4 linked regions of the Drosophila melanogaster genome follow. The protein of the gene in region 2 interacts with the protein of the main gene of each other region in a pairwise test. Each region holds a gene or a part of one and is shown on either strand. Other genes may lie near its edges.

Region 1 (4,941 bases), 2.8 Mb from region 2:
CTGTTACTGTATATTATCATGGAATTGAATTGCATAATTTATTGAGGTGCGGCGGCGAGTTCAAGCCCTTTGATATAATATATATCGTACTTTGTATATAGAAGAAGCATTATAGTGACTGAATATCTTATTGTAATTGTGTATATAATACTTAATAGTTAACTGCGTATTTATACTTAATATTTAATGAAATATAAAGAAATTGTTTGATAAATGAATGTGTGTTATTGCTGCATTTCAGGTTATTCAAATGAGCGCTATAGTATCGTTGTAAAATTTTGACTATTTGAAATTCTCCCGCCAAGCGCCTTGCTGAAATACGGGCACATCAATGGCAGAGCAGCCAGCCTTGAAATACTAAAATGCATTCTCTCAACCGCATGGCCACACTGAAAATATCGATAACAAATCGGCTAGACTTGTTGATGTTTCCTAGTAGGAAATTCCTCCGCTTCCAATTTTAGTTATTTGTCTTCAAATGTTTTTTTGTTTCATATTCTAAACTGGTTGCTTGGAAAGATTGCTAGATTGTCCATCATTCCGAATCGTGCCTAATCAGGTGTCCGGCTGCCACGCTCCGAATTGCCTTGAAATTCAACATGAATGTTTGTCGCCTGTGCTTGTCGAAGGAACCCAATTTCCCCGTTTTCGGTGCAAATGGATCGACTGCTCTGCAGATAATGGTCTGCACATCGCTGGAGATCGAGCCCGGCGACGGTCTGCCACAGCACATATGCACCATGTGTCGGCTGCAACTGGAGGAGATGCACTGCTTCCGACGACGCTGCCTCGCAGCCGATCGCAAATTGAGGCGCCACAAGGCGTTGCAGCGGCAGGGTGTCAAGTCGCAGCTGAGTGAAGTGGAGGAGGAGCGGGGCTCCGGGGAAGGATGCACGCAAACTGGCTGCGCCGAGAACAATGCCCAGTGGCGCCAGCAGGCCGCCCAGCTCATTAGCAGCGAGATCGACGCGTATAAAAAGGAGCTGCTCAGCACTTGCAAGCAAGCTGTGCGGGCGGAAATCGAGCTGGAGCTGCGGGCGGAACTCGAAGAGGTCATCATACCCGAAGCCAAGCAGCAGTTGCGACTGAGCGTTCTGGACGACGTGTTTGTCGAACTGGAACGGTACTTTGTGCGCAAGCGCAATGAGGCGACCTATGAGATGAAGATGAACTTAAGCAGTCCGCTGCCTGACGAACAGACCGCTGGCTTCTACGAAACAGACATGGGCCAGGAGCTAAGGGAGCAGAGCGATAACAGCGTGGTGGAGTTACTGGGTAAGACCAGCCCACTTACTTTGCAATTGCACGACTTATATATTTCTCAAATGTAATAGACGATGAACCAGAAGCCAGCAGACAGCCAGCTGCAACGCCACTAGTTGCTGTGCCCATGGTTGAGATCAACATGAACGACCCGCAGCTGAGTCATCTGCGCAACGACTATAGCAAGGACACCTTTCTGGGTGCCAACACAACTGCCTTAGAGGATGTAAAAACCCCATCGCCGTGTCGAAAGAAAGTGCGCTTTATGAGCCCCAAGCAGACGACCGATAACCTGTGCCGAAAGCACAGTTCCTTCAAGACAAAATGCAGCAGTTCGTACGCCGATTTCAAAAGTTGTGTGCGCTGTCGTCTAAGAGGAGCGGATAAGCTAAATAACACCGTGACGTAGCCACGTAACAACGAATTTAGTTTAATCCTCTATATTATAAGAATAGTACCTTTTTTTGTGCACGCATATTTGACTAAGCCATCACCTATTTTAATTGTCATTGTATTCTATTAAACTTTAAATATGCACATTCGGTATGCATTGGATTTGTATGAAAATCAATACCTTTAAACCTTACATTAATAAATTAAGTTATGATACGTTTATGGGCCGTATATATCAAATTGTTTATTTACGAACAGTGTGACTGTATTGCTTTCGTTTCGAGAGGAGGTATTTTTAGCGAACCTGTCTGCGGTCACATTGCTTGCGATGCAGAGACGCCACCGAGTAAATACGTTGATTTACCAAAAATAGACGCCTTCATGGATGCACAGCCGTCGTATCCCGATTTGGCGACCCTGTGCCGCCTTTGCCTCAAGGAGCACCAGGATGCGTACGCGATCTTCGACGAGGACGACACCCAGCTCTCGATACCCGTGCGCCTGATGGCCTGCGTCGCACTGGACGCCAAGGCGACGGATACTCTGCCGAAGAGGATCTGCCAGGAGTGCCGCTATCAGCTGGAGAAGTCATTCCTGTTCCGGCAGCGCTGCCAATGGGCGGAGAAGAAGCTTCGCAAGCATATCCGACTTCTGGGTCTCGGGAAGCGAAGCCGCGTCTTCTCCAAGGATCCGGACGATTATGACGAGGACGAGCTGGAGTTCGAGGACTCTATTGCCTTCATCGAGGTGCAGGACAAAGTGCGCAAGCTTGAGGACGAAAAGTGGCGAGAAGATTTTAAGGAAGAACAGGCGGCGGAAATGCACAAACGGCTGGTCAAATCTCGTCTAGAACTTCGAGCGAAACTGACCACCGAACTGCGCAAGGAACTAGCGGAGGAGGTGCGCAGTGAGGTTCGCAAGGAGCTGGCCGAGGAGGTGCGCAGCCAGGTTAGAGATGACCTGCGAAACGAGGTGAGCGAGGACATAAGAAAAGAGCAGCTGGCCATGCTGTTGGGCGAATTGGAGGTGTATCTTACCGAGAAAAAGGCCGGTCGGTGGGAGTCTTTGGATGGGTCCGAACCAGAGACCAAGCCGCAAGTCAAGGAAGATGCCTCCCCTTCTAGGTCAAAAACTAAAGCTCTTCCAAAGCGACGACCCAGCTTGGTCGACGCCAATCTAAAGGCGACAGAGGCCAGGAAGGATGCAAAAGAAGAGGAATTCATATTGGGCTGCAATACCGACCCCGCAAATAATAGCGATGTAAACATAGATGGCCTCGAACTGGACGAGGAAGTGCCCGCGGAAAGCGGTGAAGACTTCAGGGAAATCAACATGGTTGGATCAGATGTAGTGCACACAGACAATGGAGAGATTTACATCATAAACTCTGCCAGCTCAGAGGATCAAAACCAGGACTCCACTCCCGAATTTGACCAGGACAACGGAATCACCTCCTATAACAGTAAGTGGGTATAATTTGGCAAAAAAAATGTGAAAAAATTTTCATTTCATTAAATTCTTTGCTTAGTCAAAGAAGACGGCGAAATTCAGTTCAGTGGCGAAAAGCCAGAGGAAATCGAAGACGTGGTCGTGTTTAATCTGGGCGAGGAGATATCTCAGGAGCAACAGGTCTTCAGCTTCCATGAAAATGTCATTATAGTGGTAACTAACCGTGTGATTTTAAATTGAACTCGAATTCAACTTGGATCTTATTATCTGTAGGAAAAAGAACAGAACGATAGAGATGAGCAGACGCCCCTCAAACGAAAGAGATCGAGTGAGTTGGTGTTCAAGCAGGAGTCCAGTTGTCCTCAACCAAAAACCGGTCGAATTACGGACACGGTGAAGTCGTTCCAGTGCCATTTGTGCCCGGTGGCATTTCCTACGCAGAAACTTCTGACGCGCCACCACAACACCCACATTAAGGGACTGAAAAGTGGAAAGGGCGGCACGCTCAAGTGTCCCAGCTGCGCACTGCAACTGTCGTGCGCCAGCTCGCTCAAACGCCACATGATTATCCACACGGGCCTGAAACCCTTCAAGTGCAGCGAGTGCGAACTGTCCTTCTCCCAGCGCGAAGTGCTCAAGCGTCACATGGACACCCATACGGGAGTAAAGCGCCATCAGTGCCCCCAATGCTCGAGCTGCTTTGCCCAGAAGTCCAACCTGCAGCAGCACATTGGCCGCGTGCATATGGGCAACTCTCGGACGCACAAGTGTCATCTGTGTCATCGTAGCTTCAATCATGTTTCGGGCCTCAGTCGCCATCTGGTCACCCACGCTGGCGTCATGTTCTCCTGCAAACAGTGCGGCCGTCAGTTTAACGATCGCAGTGCGGTCCAGAGACATGTAACCACAATGCACAAGGTGAAGAACAAGCTCACAGACTACATATCCGAGACGAACGAGTTTCAAGCTGTGGCCTAGAATAGTCCCTGGACATGTTTTACCAATACACCGCAGATTGGACCACCATGTTTTACACCTGAAGAGACCAACTTTGATTGATCTGAATATTTTACAACTTTATTCGCGAACCTAGAGTGCTCACAACAGTTGGCACCAAAAATCATCAACATGATAGCGTTAAAACATTTAGAAACATGCAGCATTAAACAGTTTAGCAAACAAATACAAATCGGAACATTTGGAACAGCTCTGTAACAAGATACATATAGCTAGACGTACATTTTACAATATCGTTTAATAAATACCACATAAGACGATGTACAATTTTATAGGCAAATATACGTATTTTTAATAAACTCAACTGCTCTACGAATACTTTAAACTTAAGCTAATCGCCAAAAACGGATTCAAAATGCGCCTAAGAGAAAACGAACGATCGTGCCTGCCATTCGAATGCCAAATGCAATGAATAATATTTTCTTGTATAATCGGAAGCGCTTTTCAAATGAGATTACCAAGGGAAACAAGCCCGCAACGACATCCTTAGAGGTCGAAACCGTTTAACATTCCTGGTTAATGCGTTATAAAGCCAATAACAATCCAATATCACGCTATCCTAATAATTGGAACAAATTATTCCATAATATCCAGTAAGGTCCTAACTCTTGCGGCCCTTCTGCCACTGCTAGTCGGAGTTTGTAAGCGAGCTGCGCTGCGATTCGAGTGTATTTGAGTCGTGCCGCTGGCGCAGAACTCGCGTCTGGCTGGCTGGTAACTTGGAGAAGTCCTTCATTACGTTCTTGTACGTCTCATCTTCGCCATTGTACTCGTCGTTGGGTCCAATCTCGTCATTCAGTTGTGTCAATCGGAGTCTGA
Region 2 (6,145 bases):
CCGCAGACAAAGTCCATATGCAAATCTCTTCCCTTTTAGCCTTGGGCATTCCTTTCTCAAGATAAAACGTCTGGGTAGGTTAGTTTGTCGGAGATATACATTTATATCAAAATATACACATACGTACGAGTAGATGCACCAGATTTCGTAAAAATTCCAATTTAAACGATGCTACTACAAAGCTAGTTCGCTTTTCCTTTCCTTCGATAGACAGTTAATATTAAATGACACGATTTAGGATGAACGACGAACGAACAATGCTCGAGAGGCTCTGCCCCATAAAGCACCACTTATACACAGTGCAACATACCTTAGAGATTTAATGCGAGAAGTGCTTATAGTAATTACTTTTAGTGTCTCTTATACACGAATTGTTTTTCCTCTTCCCAATACCTGCATACTTAGAATTTAATAAACTCTCCCCATTTCAAATCAAAACAGACGTGTTTTCATCTGGGCAAAGTGGTAATTAATAGCTGCTATCGTTAACAATATAATAAAAAGTATAGTTAAAGTTTCTGTTTGCATGTTTTATTGTTGTTTTTGCTCTTCGCTTCGCTTACATTTACAAGTAGTTTATATATATTTATATATATACTATATATTCTCTACAACATTTACGATCGATCTGTATCAATTCAATTATAGCTGGTTTTACTCGTTTTACTTCGTTCTCCTTATCGATTCACTTAATTTAGGGACTCTTGTGTCTCTCTGTTTTCTAAGTTTTTGTTCTATAAGCAACCCGGTTTTCATTCTTTCGCTCATTAAATGTATTATTGATTATTTATGCGATCGCCATTGCTCCGCGCGTAGTCATTTGAGTAGAAGATGCTGCTAAGTATGCGCTAAGAGTACACTTATATAAATAGTTGCTGTTTTCGATTTCCGTTCGGTTCGGTTGCGATGACGCTTTATGTCGGTTCAGAGCGGGCGGGATTACACATAGTATAGCAATAACTAGTTTTACTTTTAATTAATTTACTTTACTTTGCTGGCGGGCTTAACATTTAACACGACGAGAAAAGCTGAATGAAGCCGATGCTCGGAACTAATTGTTAGGGATCGAGGGATCTAGGGGCATGGGTGACAACAGTTGCATAGGAGGATAGCTGTAGTATGGATCGATTTGATTCCTCAAGAAGCTTCGGTGCTAAAGAAATCCTAATAACTCTTTGACCATTTTACCTTAAAACAAATAATATAACTTGAATTGTATCAGTTTTAAACAATATCAATATTTTTTTTTTTAGTAAGATGTTCCTTGTAAAGGAAATATAAAAGACAACAATTATGCATATACAGGCATAAAAGGTTATTGTGCAAAGTAGGTCACATCTAAATTTATTGTAGTCATTTTCCTTGCCATTCGAAAACAGCAACCAAACTTAAAAAGACGCCGATGATTCATTTACAAAGCTTTGAAAAGCGAGAAATTGATGGGTATTAAAAGATAATAAAACGTTTTAGACTAAATGGCTTTAAAGTGCCTTAAGATACCTTTAACACACCGACTCAAATCGAACCATCATGGGATAGTATAGAGTTTAGGCCTAAACACCCTGTATCATATCATCTGTGGCTTATGCCAACACGGCTAGCCTTAATTTACAATTGGACACGCATGTGGATCAGCTCTCTACGATATAGTTACATACAATTGCGCTCTGCACAGCAGGTAAATAACACTTTCGAGTATATATTCAAATATAGTATTCATGTAATCGTATTCGTATGCCGTATATGCGATCTATAAGTGTATGTGCTATGTGGCATGCATATTGCACTATTCCTCAATGGCTGCTTGACTGGCTGGCTGGCTGGCTGCGGACCTGGATCGCGTTGCGATCTGGATCTGAAGTGGGTCTAGCAGGTGTGCACCCGCAGGTGGTTTTGCAGTGTGCTTTTTTGCCGGAACTGTTTAGGACAAAAGGAACAGTTGTAGGGCTTTTCACCGGTGTGGATCTTCATGTGGTTGTTCAGCGTGGCCACCTGCCGGAAGTTGACCTCACAGATCTTGCACTTGTAGGGCTTCTCTCCGGTGTGCGTCTTGATGTGATTTACCAAGGTGCTCTGCTGTGAGAAGAACCGCTGGCAGACGCTGCAGCCAAACGGCCGGTCCGGATTGTCGCCCTTCAGCATGTTGATGGTGCCCACTACGGTCATCCGGCCCGACGGCGAGCCGCCCGCCTGGAAATGCTCCACCTTGGTGTTGGCCGCCGCCGTGGCCACTACCGAGCTGACCGTGGTGCTGCCGTCGAGGAAATGCAGTAGCGGATGGTGGTCCAGCTGGATGATGTTCGCCGTGCTACCGTGCAGGTTGTTCGGCAACAGGCCACTGGTCAGCTGCTGCGTCCCGGGCGCCAGAGGAGCGGGCATTGAGTGATCCACTGCAGATTGACGGTACGGAGTTGGATTGTTGGATGATTTGTTGAAGTTAGCATGCGTACAAGATTTAAATAAAAGCTTCGTTAGGGAAGAGCGTTAATAATCAATGCACACATGGATAACAGAAAGCGGCTCATTGGTAGGGCGAACACACAAGCGGCTCACCTGTGGCTGTGACGGCGCCTCCGCCGCCTCCTGCTCCACCGACGCCTCCAGGCGCTATCTGATGCGTGTGCGTCTTGAGGTGGTTGGTAAGGGTGCTCTGCTGGCGGAACTGCATGTGGCAGTAGGAACACGTGTACGGCTTGTCGCCCGTGTGGATCTTCTTGTGGTTGGCCAGCGTCGCCAGCTGGCTAAAGGACTTGTCACACGTTTCGCACTTGTACGGCTTAGGATCGATGTGGGTCCGCTCGTGGTTGTGCAGCGTGCTCAGCTGCGGGAAGCGGCGCTTGCAAACGCTACACTGGAACGGCTTCACCAGCTCCTCGGCCGCCGGCGAGCTGTAGCTGCCGGAATACAAGGTCTTTGAGATTTGGACGCGCTGATGCTGCTGCTGGTAGGCCTGGTGCATCTGGGACTTTCGGTGTTTGCCACTGCCCGTCTGCGGCTGATAGTTCAACAGGGAAGTTGGCGTGCTGGACTCCGCCGCTGTTGCCCGTAAGCGAAGCGAGAAATAGAGTTAGGTCATAAGGTCTATTGGGACGATGCGACCACACACTCACCCTTGTGCGTCTTGATGTGATTGATCAAGGTGCTCTGCTGGCGAAAGTCCTTGGCGCAGATGTTGCAGGTGAACGGCTTTTCTCCGGTGTGGATTTTCACGTGGTTGGTTAGCGTCGAGATCTGGCGGAAGGCCTTGTCGCAGTGTTTGCACTTGTAGGGCCGCTCGTCCGTGTGGATCTTCATGTGGTTGCGTAACGTGGTCAGCTGCCGGAACTTGTTCTTGCACACGTGGCACTGTTTCTTCTTGCGCGGATCGTCCACCACCACCTCCTCCTCGCTAATCACGCTCTGCACCTCCTGTTTCATAGGAGAAATGGGCGTGTGGCTGCCCCCGCCTCCTCCGCCACTGTTCGCTGTTGTAGTGGATATGTCCAGCAAATGGACCAGCGGGTGCTGTGGATGGAGCATGGCTTGGTGGGTAGGGTGCTGGATGGCCTGCACGGCGGTGAGTTGATGCAGCGCAAAGGGACTCTGTTGCAGGCTGGCCAGTGTGGTGGGCTGCTGCTGTCCCGAGTTGGGACCCGGTCCAGATCCACCATTACTCCCTCCTCCACCGCCACCGCCACCTCCTCCTCCGCCGCCACCGCCATGGGAGGCTGGCAGTTGGTAGTGCTGATAGTTGGCCATGGCTGCCGTGGCGGCTGTCGCATGGTTCAGATGCATGATATTCGAGAGATATGATCCTAGCGTGGATCTACAGTCTGCCCATCGGCGGCGTTACACAATGGCGGCCACCGACGACCCTCGGCCATTCCCCGCCCCCGCAGTTGCTTCCACTGCGCCGCTCCTTTTGGGGCCTTTTTTGATTTGTTATTTCAGTCGTCTGGTTTGCACTTCTGTGTACTTTTGCTGCGCTGCTGCTGCTTCTTCTTCTTCTCTTCTTCAACACGCTGCTTACGCTTCCACGTAGCGATTGGGAGGGCCTGAATCCGCGGCCACTTTGTCGCGCACTTCCCCACGATCAGTTTCCACCGTTTTCGCTCGCTTTTGGGGCGCTTTCTCCGCCGTTTCTGCAGTTTTTCCAGGCCACGCTCTTTTTGTATCCGTATCCTTATCAAAACAAAAATGACTGGCGTGGTTTTCCAGGGCTGAGCGAACGGGCAGAGCTGCACCCCCGCCGAACATCGAGTAATCGACTATCGGCCGGCCAGGGCTGGTGGCGCTAGAGAGCCTAACACTGGGTGGGTCGATAACAGCTATCGATTATTTGGACACTCCGTGCTGACAATTCAGCTGATTTTAACCTTTCAATTAGTTTATATTCAGATATCAACAAAGTGTAATTGTTATTTTATCTATACTCGATTTTGTAACTTTGCGCCCTTCTTAGCTTTAGTTATTCTATTATTCGGTTCCTTTTTGTTTAATGAGTCATAATATGTTCTAACCGTTACAAACACATATTTATTTGCGACCCTTAATAAATCGCTGTTAAATAAAAATCTTTCATTGATAGGCTACTTAAAGTAATTATAATATTTTGGTTTGCTCGCACAAATTTGATTTTAAAATCTAAATCAATAAGCAATGAAATTAAAATTCTAGCTTTTTAATAGCTGTTAGAGATAACTTATTCGTTAGCCTAAACCTATCGATAGTTGTCAGAACTTGTTTTGCTTTTTACGTTAAAACAAAACGCAACATAAACAATTGGGAGAATTCATCACACTATCCTCAGATTTACATACTTTCACCGGAAGGTGAATCTGTTTACCATGGGCGACATCGAAGTAAAGAAGGAGGAACAACCGACGACGCCCTCCAATTCCTCGTCCAGTGACGACGACGAGGAGGCCCCAGGCTAGTCTAAATAGTTAGGTCTTTACTGTCACTCATTAATTGAATTGAATTCTAGACGACACAATGGATAAGGTTCGACGCTTCTTTGCAAACACTCTACATCTCGGCGGCTCCTCGGACGCAAAGGAGGAAGTTAAAGTAGAGAAGGTGAGCGGAGCACCCGATAATTTGATTATCATATTGATTAAATCGCAAATTTGCAGGTTATTCCAGATTTGAGTTTTGACGGCTTTGCCGAACATTGGCGTGTGCATGGTTTCCGCAAGATTGTGACCATGGTGGGAGCCGGCATATCTACATGTTGGTACATTCTATATACCATTGTAAAAACTTACTAAGTTATCGCCATTCCTAGCTGCTGGCATTCCGGATTTCAGATCCCCAGGTTCCGGGTTATACAGCAATCTGAAGAAGTACGAGCTGCCACATCCTACGGCCATATTCGATCTGGACTACTTCGAAAAGAATCCAGCGCCGTTTTTTGCACTGGCCAAGGAACTTTACCCTGGATCCTTCATTCCCACGCCGGCCCACTACTTTATCCGTTTGCTTAACGACAAGGGACTACTGCAGCGCCACTACACCCAGAACATAGACACGCTAGACCGGCTTACTGGCCTGCCCGAGGACAAGATCATTGAGGCCCATGGCAGCTTCCACACCAACCACTGCATTAAGTGCCGCAAGGAGTACGACATGGACTGGATGAAGGCGGAGATCTTCGCCGATCGTCTGCCCAAATGCCAAAAGTGCCAAGGCGTTGTTAAACCAGACATTGTTTTCTTTGGCGAAAACTTGCCAAAGAGATTTTACTCCAGTCCTGAAGAGGATTTCCAGGATTGCGATCTGCTGATCATCATGGGCACATCGTTGGAAGTGCAACCGTTTGCTTCACTGGTGTGGAGACCAGGACCACGTTGCATTCGCCTCTTGATCAATCGCGATGCAGTGGGTCAGGCCAGCTGTGTGCTCTTTATGGATCCCAACACGCGATCGCTACTCTTCGATAAGCCCAATAACACTAGGGATGTGGCCTTTCTGGGCGACTGTGATGCTGGCGTAATGGCTCTGGCCAAAGCCTTGGGCTGGGACCAAGAGCTGCAGCAGCTAATTACAAGTGAAAGGAAGAAACTGAGCGGCAGCCAGAATAGTGAGGAGCTGCAACAAGGCAAAGAGAAACCGCAATCGGACCCGGATAAGATGACTTCGGGCGATAGGGACAAGAAGGATGCTT
Region 3 (6,161 bases), on a different chromosome or scaffold from region 2:
GACATCCTTAAGTGACAAATCCAATGCCAGCCAATAAATTATTCGAGTGGCTGATATTCCAAATTGAATTAGCTTGACGATAAAGTGACAAAGTGTCCATCGCAGCTGAAGAAGATAATGCCGGCGGACCTGAGATAAGCCGAAGACGGTGGTTATATACGAACAAGGTGTTTGTTTCAGTCTTTTACTTTTATCTCTTCATTTTCCAGGCAAACCTCGTGGACACCCTGTGCGCAGATCATGGCTCCACCACAATCAGGCGAGATAACCATCACTTTTTTAGGCTGCGCAACGGAGAACTGACTGGAAGGGGAGTTCAGACGGAGGTGTGCGCCAACGGAGGTGATTCGGTCCTGGCCTGGATTCCCTACCACACCGTGCTCAAGAACTATGCGGCCGAGCTGAATCCCAAGGAGCGACTGACATACATTGCCAAGGCCACGAACGTGGAGCGGGAGAAGACAGAGCTCTGTCACTTCCGACACACGGATCTTGTCAATGCGGTGTCCGACAATCTGTTCACCTGTGTGGTCATGATTTTTGGCGATAACTTTGTAAGTTCCTCGGGAAGATGGTTCGGTTGATGTCCTACAAATATGTTATCTTTATAGTATGGTCTTGAGGATAACATTAACGTACTGGTGGAACTGGAACCTTTGGCATACCAGCTGAGGAACATTACTTACCTGCCGTGGCGCAATGTGACTAACAGCTACAAGATGCACCTGGGTGACAGTGTGCTCCGAAATCCCAGTGGCGAACGTAAGCCCATTTACGGTAGCCTGAACTACGATTTTGTGGAGAAGATCCTTGTGAACATGTCCAGTGTGTACCAGCATAGGAAGCTATCCAGGCTGCCTCTGCTCTTCGAGCACCGGTCCTCTGTTCTCGAGTTGGACTTGTATGGTATGGGTGGCCTGGATGTTGCGGAAAAAGCCTATTTCGGACGAAGCATGGACCCCAGGAGCGAGGTGAAGGTGCAGGTGATTGGTCAATGGGTAGACCAGCATCGGGAGTTCGACGCCGACATATACGAGTACTATGGCCATGGGCTGAGACGCTATAAGGAAACTCTGACCGGGGCCCGGCTCACCTTCATCCGAATAGATTATACGGAGCCGGTTTTCATGGCTCCGGAGTCTAGCAACCTGGCCAAGGCCTCGCTTTTCCGAGAGCCGAAGGTTGGCCAGATAAGGGAGGATCCATCGGGCAACTATACCGAGTGGGAGAACGCACAGGAAGAGGATTACGATGAGGAAGGTCCAGGATTCTACTGCTGGTTTGTGATTACTTGTCTGCTTTTGGCCCTCGCTATTATCCTGGGCATATACATTGTAGTAAGCGCTCACAACAGGAGAACCAAGAAGCGCCACATGTACGAAGTGGCCAACACGAATGTGCCTCCACCCGCCTAAAAATTATGGACATTAAGTTAAGTTTTCTAAATCAGAAAATAACACCAGGATCAACAGGTGTTTTCAGTTCGAAATGTCAGTTTAAAAAACGAGTTGGCAGCTCAATTGCTATGTCCTCGAATTAAAATTTGTGTGTTCGTTTTTTGGGTTAGATTTATTAAAAATTTCGGCTTGAAAATGTTAATGTGAGTCAAAAAACTGTTGTGTGTTTCATTGAATATGTAAAGAAATCCCCTGGTATGAACGGCAAGGAATGGCTCTAAAATCGAGAAATTAAAGAGACTTGTGAGCTGAAGGACCCACATCAAAAACCTAAGTTGTAAATAGAGAAAAGGTAAGTTTCAATGGAATTTCATGCCTTAAACATAAGAAGTTTTAAGTATTAAAAAGAAATCTAGAAATCTGAGGAAATAAACAAAATGATTTCCGACCGGCATGCGTTAGGGATTTCTGTCTTTATACCACGTTGGCAGCGCCATTCACAACACGCCTATCATCTCACTCACACTCGCACACAGAGAAAGACAGATAGAGGCAGAAGTTCAGTTCATCAATTCATTCATCTCATGGAAGAACCTTATTGATAACGTCGCCAGAGATAGCTAGTGATTTCATTCGATCAGGGTCCCGAAAGACCCACTGGTGTGCACTTGTTTTGGTTTTGAAGTTCGCATCTCTGGGAACGTGTGTGTTTCGCCCTGAACCACAAATATGTGAGTTCCGAATGCGATTTGTGTGACGCGGCCATATTTAAAGAGTTTTTTGTGTTGAATGTGGGGCGAGCTGCGAAAATTACATAAATACAGCGCAGGTGAGTTCATTTTTGTTGCGGGAACCCGGTCGAAAGGTGCTCTAAGTGCGGGTGCAAGTGAATCGAAAACAATATTTACCCAATTCAAGTCGGGAATTATGTATTTGTTTCGTTTTTTGGGCCTAAAAATCGCATTTTTCGCTCACACCAACACCAAGATGGTAAATTGTGTATAACAATATGGCTGTCTCTGTCTGGCACAAGAGCTACCAGACGTGTCGACAGTCCCTGTTATTAACAGCGGGTTAGCAGGTCATTTTACAACAGATGAAATTATTCTGAATTTTAATTGACCATTTTTTGGCGGGCAAATCATAACAAACCTCGTACTCATGCACCTTTCGGGGATCCGCTCATTCTAATGGTTATTTTAAATTAAAAAAAACTGGCCCATTGCAGCCTCCCCCTAGGAACACGAAGTGATGGATCGCAAGAAGGTCCTGGAGCTTGACAAGATCTGCCGCCTGTGCATCTCGGAGCGCAAGGAGATGCGCCCGCTGTTCAGCGAAAAGGTGCCCGAAATGCTGATGGACTGTACCAGCGTGCGGGTGGAGCCCACGGAGGGCTGGCCGGACAAGATCTGCGTGCAGTGCGTCCACGCCGTAAGCCGGAATCACGCCTTCAAGACGCTCGTCGAGCGCAGCGACAAGGAGCTGCGCGAGTATATCCGCGGTCTTACCGTGGCACTGGTAATGGAGGAGCAGCAGCAGCAGGAGGCGGCAAACGCTAAGCAGCAGCTTCAGCTGGAGCGGAAGCAACAGCGACAGCTGCAGAAGCAACAGAAAATCCTCGAGGAGCAACTCCAGCAGCAGATAGTCCAGCAGCAACAGCATCAGCCTCCTGCCAAACCAAAACTGAAGCCGCTGCTCCGCAAGGGCTCCCGCCAGCAGAAGCAGAGGCATTTGGAGGCCGCACCAGCACCACAGTCAGTCCCGCAGCCCGCCCCTCAGCCACAGATGCAATTAATGCAGGAACATGCGCCGCAACAGCCCACTATGCAGCAGCAGATCCAGCAGATTCATATGCCCACACTTCAGCCTGCTCCCGCCCAGCTACTGTCCGCTGCCGGTGCCACCACGACTATGCCGCAGCAGATCCTGTTGCCCAACGGCCAATTGATAACGACTGCTCAGATTGTAGCGCCGCAGTTGGCGCAGATCATCAGCACAGCGCCGCAGTCAACGACTAATGGTCAGGCCACCGCTGCGCAATCGCAATTCCTGCCACAGCTTCTACAGACGCCGAACGGACAGACGTTGCAGATTGTTCAGCAGCCCAATGGCACGCAGACCCTGCAGCTGGTTCAACTTGTGCCGCAACGCAGTTTGGCTCCGACCGGAGTCACGACAGTGACCACAACTACCAACGCCACGGATATGGGTCAGCATGTAGGCGCTTCTCTCGGTGATGCCGACGTGCAGTTGCTGGAGGACGGCTGTGAGGTGGAAGACGAGGAACTGGAAGATGTGTACGAGCAACTGGATAGCAAGGCAGATCACAGCTTTGAGACTATTGTACTGGACGACGATCAGCAGCAGGACTTCCTAAAGGACCACCACGAGCACCACCAAGTAATGATCAACGAGGATCTCACGCAGAGTGAAAGCCAAGACCATGAGTACTTCGACGATTTGGACCAACAGCAAGCAATGGACGAGATAGAAGACGAGGAGGAGCAAATGAAGCCCGAAGAGGACCAGGATACGTTCATAATCGAGGAGATTCAGCTGGAGGATGACGAGATGCTCGATGATCCGGATGGGGAGGAAATCGACCAGGATTGTGAGTACATCGGTGAGGAACAGGATCCGCATTTGTCCGGCGACGTAGACGACGATCTGGAGTATTCCATTATGGAGCCGCCGGATGGCGAGACAAGTGTGGACATTGACCAGGCATTCATGGATTCTGAGCAGTCGCATCATCAGCAGCACCAAGAAGAGATGCAGAGCATATCACTGGAGAACGCTGTTGTAGAGTTCAGCCAGGCCACAACTACAACGGAAGCCCTGGTGGGTCCCACTATGACCGTCAGCTCGGCCAGTCCGACGCCAAAGCGAGCCAAGCGAAGTAACCACCAAATTCCAGCCGGTGTGACTCTGGAACCCTGCGACCACCAACCACCTGCCGCTGGATCAACGACCAGCAGCAAGCTGGCCGCAGCCAACTCTCGCCAGTTGGTGCAGACGGCCAGCGTGATTGCAGCCGCCGGTGCGGACGACAACTACGAAATAGATGCTAATCTGGTAACTGAGTTCATACGACAGCACACCTCGCCTCTGGGATCTGGGAGATACATTTGTCACCTGTGCAGCACCGAGTTCCGGCAGTTCAAGGGCCTGCAGAACCACATGCACTCCCACACCAACTGGATACGGGCCAATTGCAAGAAACAGCCGCAGTGCCAGATCTGCCTAAAGAGCTTTAAGGGCCCAGGAATGCTGCGGATGCACATGAAGACGCACGACGCTGAATCCAGCACACCGATGTGCACCATTTGCAATCGAACCTTCAAGTCCAAGGCGATCTTGTACAGGCACAGACAGACGCACCAGCAGAGAGCGTATTGCTGCGGCGTGGCCAACTGCCGAAAGAACTTCTCGTCCGCGGTGAACCTCAAGTGGCACGTAGAACGCAAGCATCCGGAGGTTGTGGATCCGCTGTTCAAGTGCGGCGAGTGCGGATCTTTGTACGACAACGTGGACTCACTGCAGCTGCATGTGGAGAGCACGGATCACAGTGCAGAGGTGCAGATCAGTGGCCAGGACGATGCTTTCAGCGGGGCGGTAAGCATCGTCAGCAACGGCACCACCGACATGTCGAACATGATGGCAACCGGCCAGGGTACGACTTTGGCCGGCGGCACGGGCGATACCCACGCCGTGGTCATGGGCTCATCCGGCGAGGTGTACTTCGTGACGCAGGCGTAGCCAGCGGAGTTTGCCGCAGCGGGCGCTCCTGGAAACGGCGAGTGCCTGCTCGGCATTTAGATGACCACTTAGATGTAATATATATACATATATATATATATATTTTTGTACTACCCCCGTCTAGATAACAATTTAGGAATAAGCACAACTACACAAATATTGCAATCCTAGATTTCTGTCGTAGAACTTGTTTAGTAGGACCTAAGCGATTCACTCGAATTTTGTAAGCAGATACGAAACTTTAGGTAGGCAGATCGAGGCGGATCCTCACATCCAAACGCTTGGGGCATAAATCCTGCGTGGACTGTGCCAGTTTTTGTTTTTAATTTTATTACCCTACTATTATTATTTTGTTTTCCCGGGGAATACAGACTGGCATTTTAGGCTAAACGTATTTTGGCGTTGGGTTTTCATTGTTGGGCTTTGAAATAAGTGAATTTGTTTTAACTGAACAACAAAATAAATTAACAAACCTTCTATGAAACCATAATTTGTCTTTCTTGTACGTCCCATCTGGCCGGTAATATTTATTTTTAAGCGTGTAATCCAATTCGCTGGCTTTGTTGGCTTGTTGTTCAATTGCATTGACAGAAGACCGGGAAAAAACAGAACCCAAACAAAATTGATCGAAAGAAAACAACAATCAAGCCAAGGTCTTGTCTATTGATTCCCAATTGCCACGTGTCGCGTTCATCCGGTTATGGGAAGTATCTGGATAACTACGATTCGCGTATGGATGCTTATGTAAATCTGTAAATGCCTATTAGTGTGATTTAGGTACATGTACATACATATATATTATATTATCCATAAAAAGTGACCCCCCAATAATCGGTTATCTGATCGCAGTCTGAAATCTCCGGCTGTCACAAGAAATTGTTAATTAATTAGCAAATAAGCCGCGAAAATAATCAATTGGAATAACATTGTGACAGCTAAAATCGCCAGGCGTTTATTTGTTTTGTTCAGATTATATATGGCGGTCAGCCGCGTTTCGCAAGATAA
Region 4 (4,810 bases), on a different chromosome or scaffold from region 2:
CGTATGACTACAACTAGAATCTGTAGATCGACTCGTCTAGACAGTTATGAATATATATTTTATAAGATCGAAAACACTTCTGCTTTTCAACGAATCAACACGTAATGGCTTTAATAAATGAACTAAATCAACCGAGCTATATATAAAGAAAGTTTTAAAGTGATACATTCAAATAAGAGCATTTTATGATGGAAAACGCGAAACTATGAACTAAATTAATGTATTTTTATATAAATGGTATATCCCGATTTGGCATATTTATGAATAACTAGAAATTTTAAAGTTGATTTCCTCGACTATCAAAAACTCGTTACTCAGCTAGTGTGAGTGCTGGGAAAAAAATCATACAGCGAAGGTGGCTCTAAAATTTGCTTGTTAATCTTAATCGTTTCTTTCTATTAGAGTTACCTAGATCACTGCGTTCAGACCATGGCCAGATTGTTGATCCTGATCAAGAATGTATGTATTTCATACGGTAGGAAACGATCCGTTCTGCCTGTTACATACTTTTCAACTAATTTTACTCTACGAGTAACAGACCAAATTATGATATTTTTATACCCGTTACTCGTAGAGTGAAAGGGTATACAAGATTTTGTGAAAAGTGTGTAACAGACAGAAGGAAGCGTCTCCGACTATATATAGTGTATATATTCTTGATCAGGATCAATAGCCGAGCCGATCTGGCCTTGCCAGTCTGTCCCTATGAACGTCGAGATCTCAGGAACTATAAAAGCTAGAAGGTTGAGATTCAGCATACAGATTCTAGAGACATACCCCCCTGTTGCCACGCCCACAAACAAAATTGCCTCGATTACATTTTTGAAGAATTTTTGGATATTTTTTCATAATTTTATTAATTTTATTATAACAAAGAGCTTAGACTTATAAGCATTTTTTTAATTTTTAGTAATTTTATTCCACAATATTTATCGCTTAGCCAAAATTTATGAAATTTTCTCTTTGGCATTTCCACTAGCTGCGTAACGGGTATCTAATAGTCGGCCAACTTGACTATAGCAATCTTTCTTGTGATTCGTACCTTTCAATGGCACACATATATTTCACTATTTCACTATCCGCTCTTGTTATCCAGGGCAAGGTGCACTTTCTTCCCGCCGAATGAAGCCTTAACCCGCGCAAACGTGGTTGCTAGCACTTATTCACCTGTTGTTAATTGACCTTTTTGGGACTGACACTCCCCTAAGGGTCAATATAGCTAAATGATCGAGTCAGCTACGTGTATGGGTATGGGAATAAATGTGTTCGTTTAGGCCATCTGCTTTCTTTCTACATTTATTGTTTCCTAAATAGCCTAAAATGAAAGAGCGCTAAAGTCGAGTTCCCCGACTATCAGATACCTATTAATCAGCTAGTAGCAGCAATGTTTAATAACATTGGAGCCATTTTTTTATGAGAACATTTTGGGGTTCGTCGATAAAAATTAGAATGACAAAAAAATAAAATCAATAAAAAATCAAAATACATATAGTGCCTGCGTGGCACAGGTATGAAACAAGCTTGCACCGCTTTTATAATTCACGAGGAAAATTAATTTAAAAAACAAGAGAGAATCCTACAGTCGACTTCCGCGACTATCAGATACCCGTTACTCAGCTAACGCATTTCTTATTTTTTTAATGATAAAAATGAGAAAAAATTTAAAATTTGGTCAAAAATGTGGTCGTAGCAGTCTTGGGCGGCTTGTAGGCGTAACAGCGGGCGTTGCAAAAAGAAAATGTAGATATAAATTTACAAAAACTAAAGAAAATATGAAAAAATATCATTTTGCAAATATGTGGGCGTGGCAGTTCTAAACGGTTTGTACGCGTAAGAGTGGGCATGGCAAATCGATAGAAATTTAGGAAACAAATATGAACAAATTTCAAAATATATTTCAATGGCGTGGCAGTTTTGGGCGTAACAGTTGGCGTGGCAATACCTTGTGCTGCGTGTATGTCTCTAGAATCTGTATGCTTAATCTCAACCTTCTAGCTTTTGTAGTTCCTGAGATCTCGACGTTCATACGGACGGACAGACTGTCAGACGGACACACGGACATACGGACAAGGTCAGATCGATTCGGCTATTGATTCTGATCAAGAATATATATACTTTATATGGTCGGAAACACTTCCATCTACCTTTCAACTTTTCAACGAATCTGGTGTACCCTTTTACTCTATTAGTAACAGGTAGTAGTTAGTTAGTACAAGTTTAGTAGTACAAGTTTTGTAGTTTTGTTGTTGTGTTCGAATTCGAATAAAGGGCTCGAATTCGATATACACATTTTCTTGTTGATAATAATAATAATAAATAAAAAATTAATTAATTTTAAATTTTTTTTATAAATTAATTTTAAATGAATTTGGAAGTATATAGTTAAAAGTCACGGTCGGGCACAGCGGTCCTGTTACGAGGTCATTGGAGCTTCTACAATTTGTTATTTTCATTACCAACTGGTATTCAGGCAGAATAAAACCCATACTTCATTCAATTCAACAAAATTAAAAGTGGGAAAAATAATTGTATTTTCACACACTCCAGCCGAATAATAGCTATGGGGAGCCAGAATTTTTAGTTAAGACAGTCGAGGAAAACAAAGAAAACAAGTATTCCAAGGTCAGGAGCGTGGGTAAATATAAGCTGTTCAAATTCGGAGTATATTTAAAGCCGAGCTCAAGCGCCTTAAGTGTTTAATGTTATATAACTTGGATGATTAAGGAATTATTTTTACCTTAATATATTTAAAACTATGCATTAGTTTACTCACTGAATATTTTCGTTTTATAAAGATTGGTTAACATATAATTGTTTTAAAGAATTTCAATAAATTATTAGTTATTTAGCGTCACTCAGTTAAGGTAGTGAAAACGTTCAAATACGAATTTATACACTAACAACATCACTGAGTCAAGGAATCTAAGCCTTGAAAGGTAAAAAAGACAGCGCGAACCACCTGTTGGCTAAAAATCCACGAAGCAACACGATTTCCAGGTGGATCTTGAAGCGTACGCCAAGAGATCTCGAGCGAAACTAAATTGTTGAATGGCAATGGACGACGGAAGCAGTTTACATCGCTCAAACTCAGCCGACCACTTTTTTGAGTGTGTTTATGATGGCTTATATGTTTGAGTCGCTCTCAAAACTTGGCCCAAGGCGGCTTTACGGTTGGTCGGCTACATTCGCACTCAACTGGCGGTCGACTAATCGGGAGACATAGCGTGTTGTTCGGATGCAAAAGCTGGGTTTGAAATACGATCGCCGCTTCAAACAGAACGAGTGATAGAGAAAAGGAAAGAGAACAAATTAGTTAAAGTCACTGAATGAGAAGGGATGAGATGGTATTCTTGTTTTCCCCTGTTTGGTCTTAATGATCAGAGTGTTGGAGTGCTTATACCCGTTACTCGTATAGGAAATGGGTATTCTAAATTCGTTGTAAGGAAGAAGAAAGCGCTTCGAAGCGTTTGGTATATCCCTGATTATGATCGTTCTTTTTTATATCTGTCAAACCTCAATCTCATAACCCTACAGTCCTGACTGCTTAAAGTTTCCTAAGGTCCAGCTGACCCATATTTGTCTAATTGTTTTCCACTAAAGGCCTATATTTATTGGTTCCGGTTTAATATTCCTATTATTAGATACATATAAAGGTGTTATCTTTTGGCATTTAACAACAGGCTCTCGAAAAGTGAACGCAAGACTATGTATTAAATTTGAAGTAACTACATTTTGTTGAACGGAAGCTAAGTCAGTTTATATACATAAGTAATCAACCCCCTTTTAACCGTCTGGATCGCGTATTGTTACATTGAGTGACCTGCATTCTACAGGTTGACAAGCGAACAAATATTTATACATACATATTTGAAAATGTGTAATATACGTTTGTAAATAAATCGTTTAATATACATAGGTGTACTAGGAGTACAGTCGGCACTACCTTATGATATACACATACATATATTGTTTCTATGCTTCCATGCATACAAAAATAATCCACATTTTCGTCAGAGTAGTGAAACCAAGAAAAAGTTAAATTGGCATCCCTGAACGACGATCTAAAGCAGGCTGCTGGTACTCAAACTATTAAAGAGAAGACGGCGCGTGCCAAGCAATCTTCGACTACCGTTGCAAACTACACGAAAGGGAGAAGAGAGATTACTCAACCGTTTCAAAATTTAGAGCTGACTGGTGTTACTATCGTATAAAAAAAACAAATACAAATACAAAGTTTTTTTTCATTTATGAAATCTATTAGTTTATAAACATACTTAGTCAATATTACTAGCCACTTGTCCTCTTTAAAGGGGACTGAAAAGACATCAGAATAAGATTTAACTTTTATCATTTATGTCAAAATATTGTTAAATATATTGAAAAATCAAAGAGTGACGTTGCCGTGCGTCTTTGTCTCTGGAAGCAACAAGCGGACAGGGTCAGATCGACTCGGCTATTGATCCTGATCAAGATATATATACTTTACATGGTCGAAAACGCTTTCTTCTAACTGTTACATACTTATCAACGAATCTATCTTTTATTCTACGAGTAACGGGTATAATAATATGTTACAGAATTATGTAGTGTACACAACAGAATATTCAGGTGTTCATTTACCGTCATCCCTTGAATTCTTTTGCGATCGAAGGAAATGTCTTGGACGGTTGCCCGCGCTTTATTTGTGAAACACCTGTTAGACCGAACCGGAAAAAACCTACCCTTCGATCGCGCCTCTGTTAATTTTCCTTTCTGCTTATATATACTCCTTACGTGGTTAATTCGTGCATTAGTACCAAAACTGGTGTTA

Evidence for each region.
Region 1: the proteins of CG4360 (region 2) and CG31365 interact in a two-hybrid assay, tested with the Drosophila melanogaster proteins (one large-scale study listed by BioGRID).
Region 3: the proteins of CG4360 (region 2) and CG10321 interact in a two-hybrid assay, tested with the Drosophila melanogaster proteins (one large-scale study listed by BioGRID).
Region 4: the proteins of CG4360 (region 2) and sv interact in a two-hybrid assay, tested with the Drosophila melanogaster proteins (one large-scale study listed by BioGRID).

What each region holds. Positions count from the first base shown.
Region 1 is NT_033777.3:23,123,439-23,128,379, reverse strand, and holds CG31365 (uncharacterized protein), read left to right. Parts: upstream 1-1,957; 5' UTR 1,958-2,037; coding exon 2,038-3,118; intron 3,119-3,184; coding exon 3,185-3,318; intron 3,319-3,378; coding exon 3,379-4,083; 3' UTR 4,084-4,418; downstream 4,419-4,941. Other genes in the region: CG31457 (uncharacterized protein), read left to right, coding at 600-1,275, 1,335-1,672; CenB1A (centaurin beta 1A), read right to left, coding at 4,751-4,937.
Region 2 is NT_033777.3:20,323,763-20,329,907, forward strand, and holds CG4360 (uncharacterized protein), read right to left. Parts: upstream 4,242-6,145; 5' UTR 3,775-4,241; coding exon 3,111-3,774; intron 3,037-3,110; coding exon 2,554-3,036; intron 2,499-2,553; exon of another isoform or gene 2,467-2,498; coding exon of another isoform or gene 2,456-2,466; exon of another isoform or gene 2,391-2,455; coding exon 1,867-2,390; 3' UTR 512-1,866; downstream 1-511. Other genes in the region: Sirt2 (sirtuin 2), read left to right, coding at 4,827-4,911, 4,967-5,058, 5,115-5,211, 5,267-6,145.
Region 3 is NT_033778.4:21,632,756-21,638,916, forward strand, and holds CG10321 (uncharacterized protein), read left to right. Parts: upstream 1-1,923; 5' UTR 1,924-2,226; intron 2,227-2,625; 5' UTR 2,626-2,648; coding exon 2,649-5,156; coding exon of another isoform or gene 5,157-5,216; 3' UTR 5,217-5,644; downstream 5,645-6,161. Other genes in the region: CG15674 (uncharacterized protein), read left to right, coding at 210-554, 612-1,415.
Region 4 is NC_004353.4:1,087,026-1,091,835, reverse strand, and holds the start of sv (shaven), read right to left. Parts: upstream 3,039-4,810; 5' UTR 2,774-3,038; intron 1-2,773.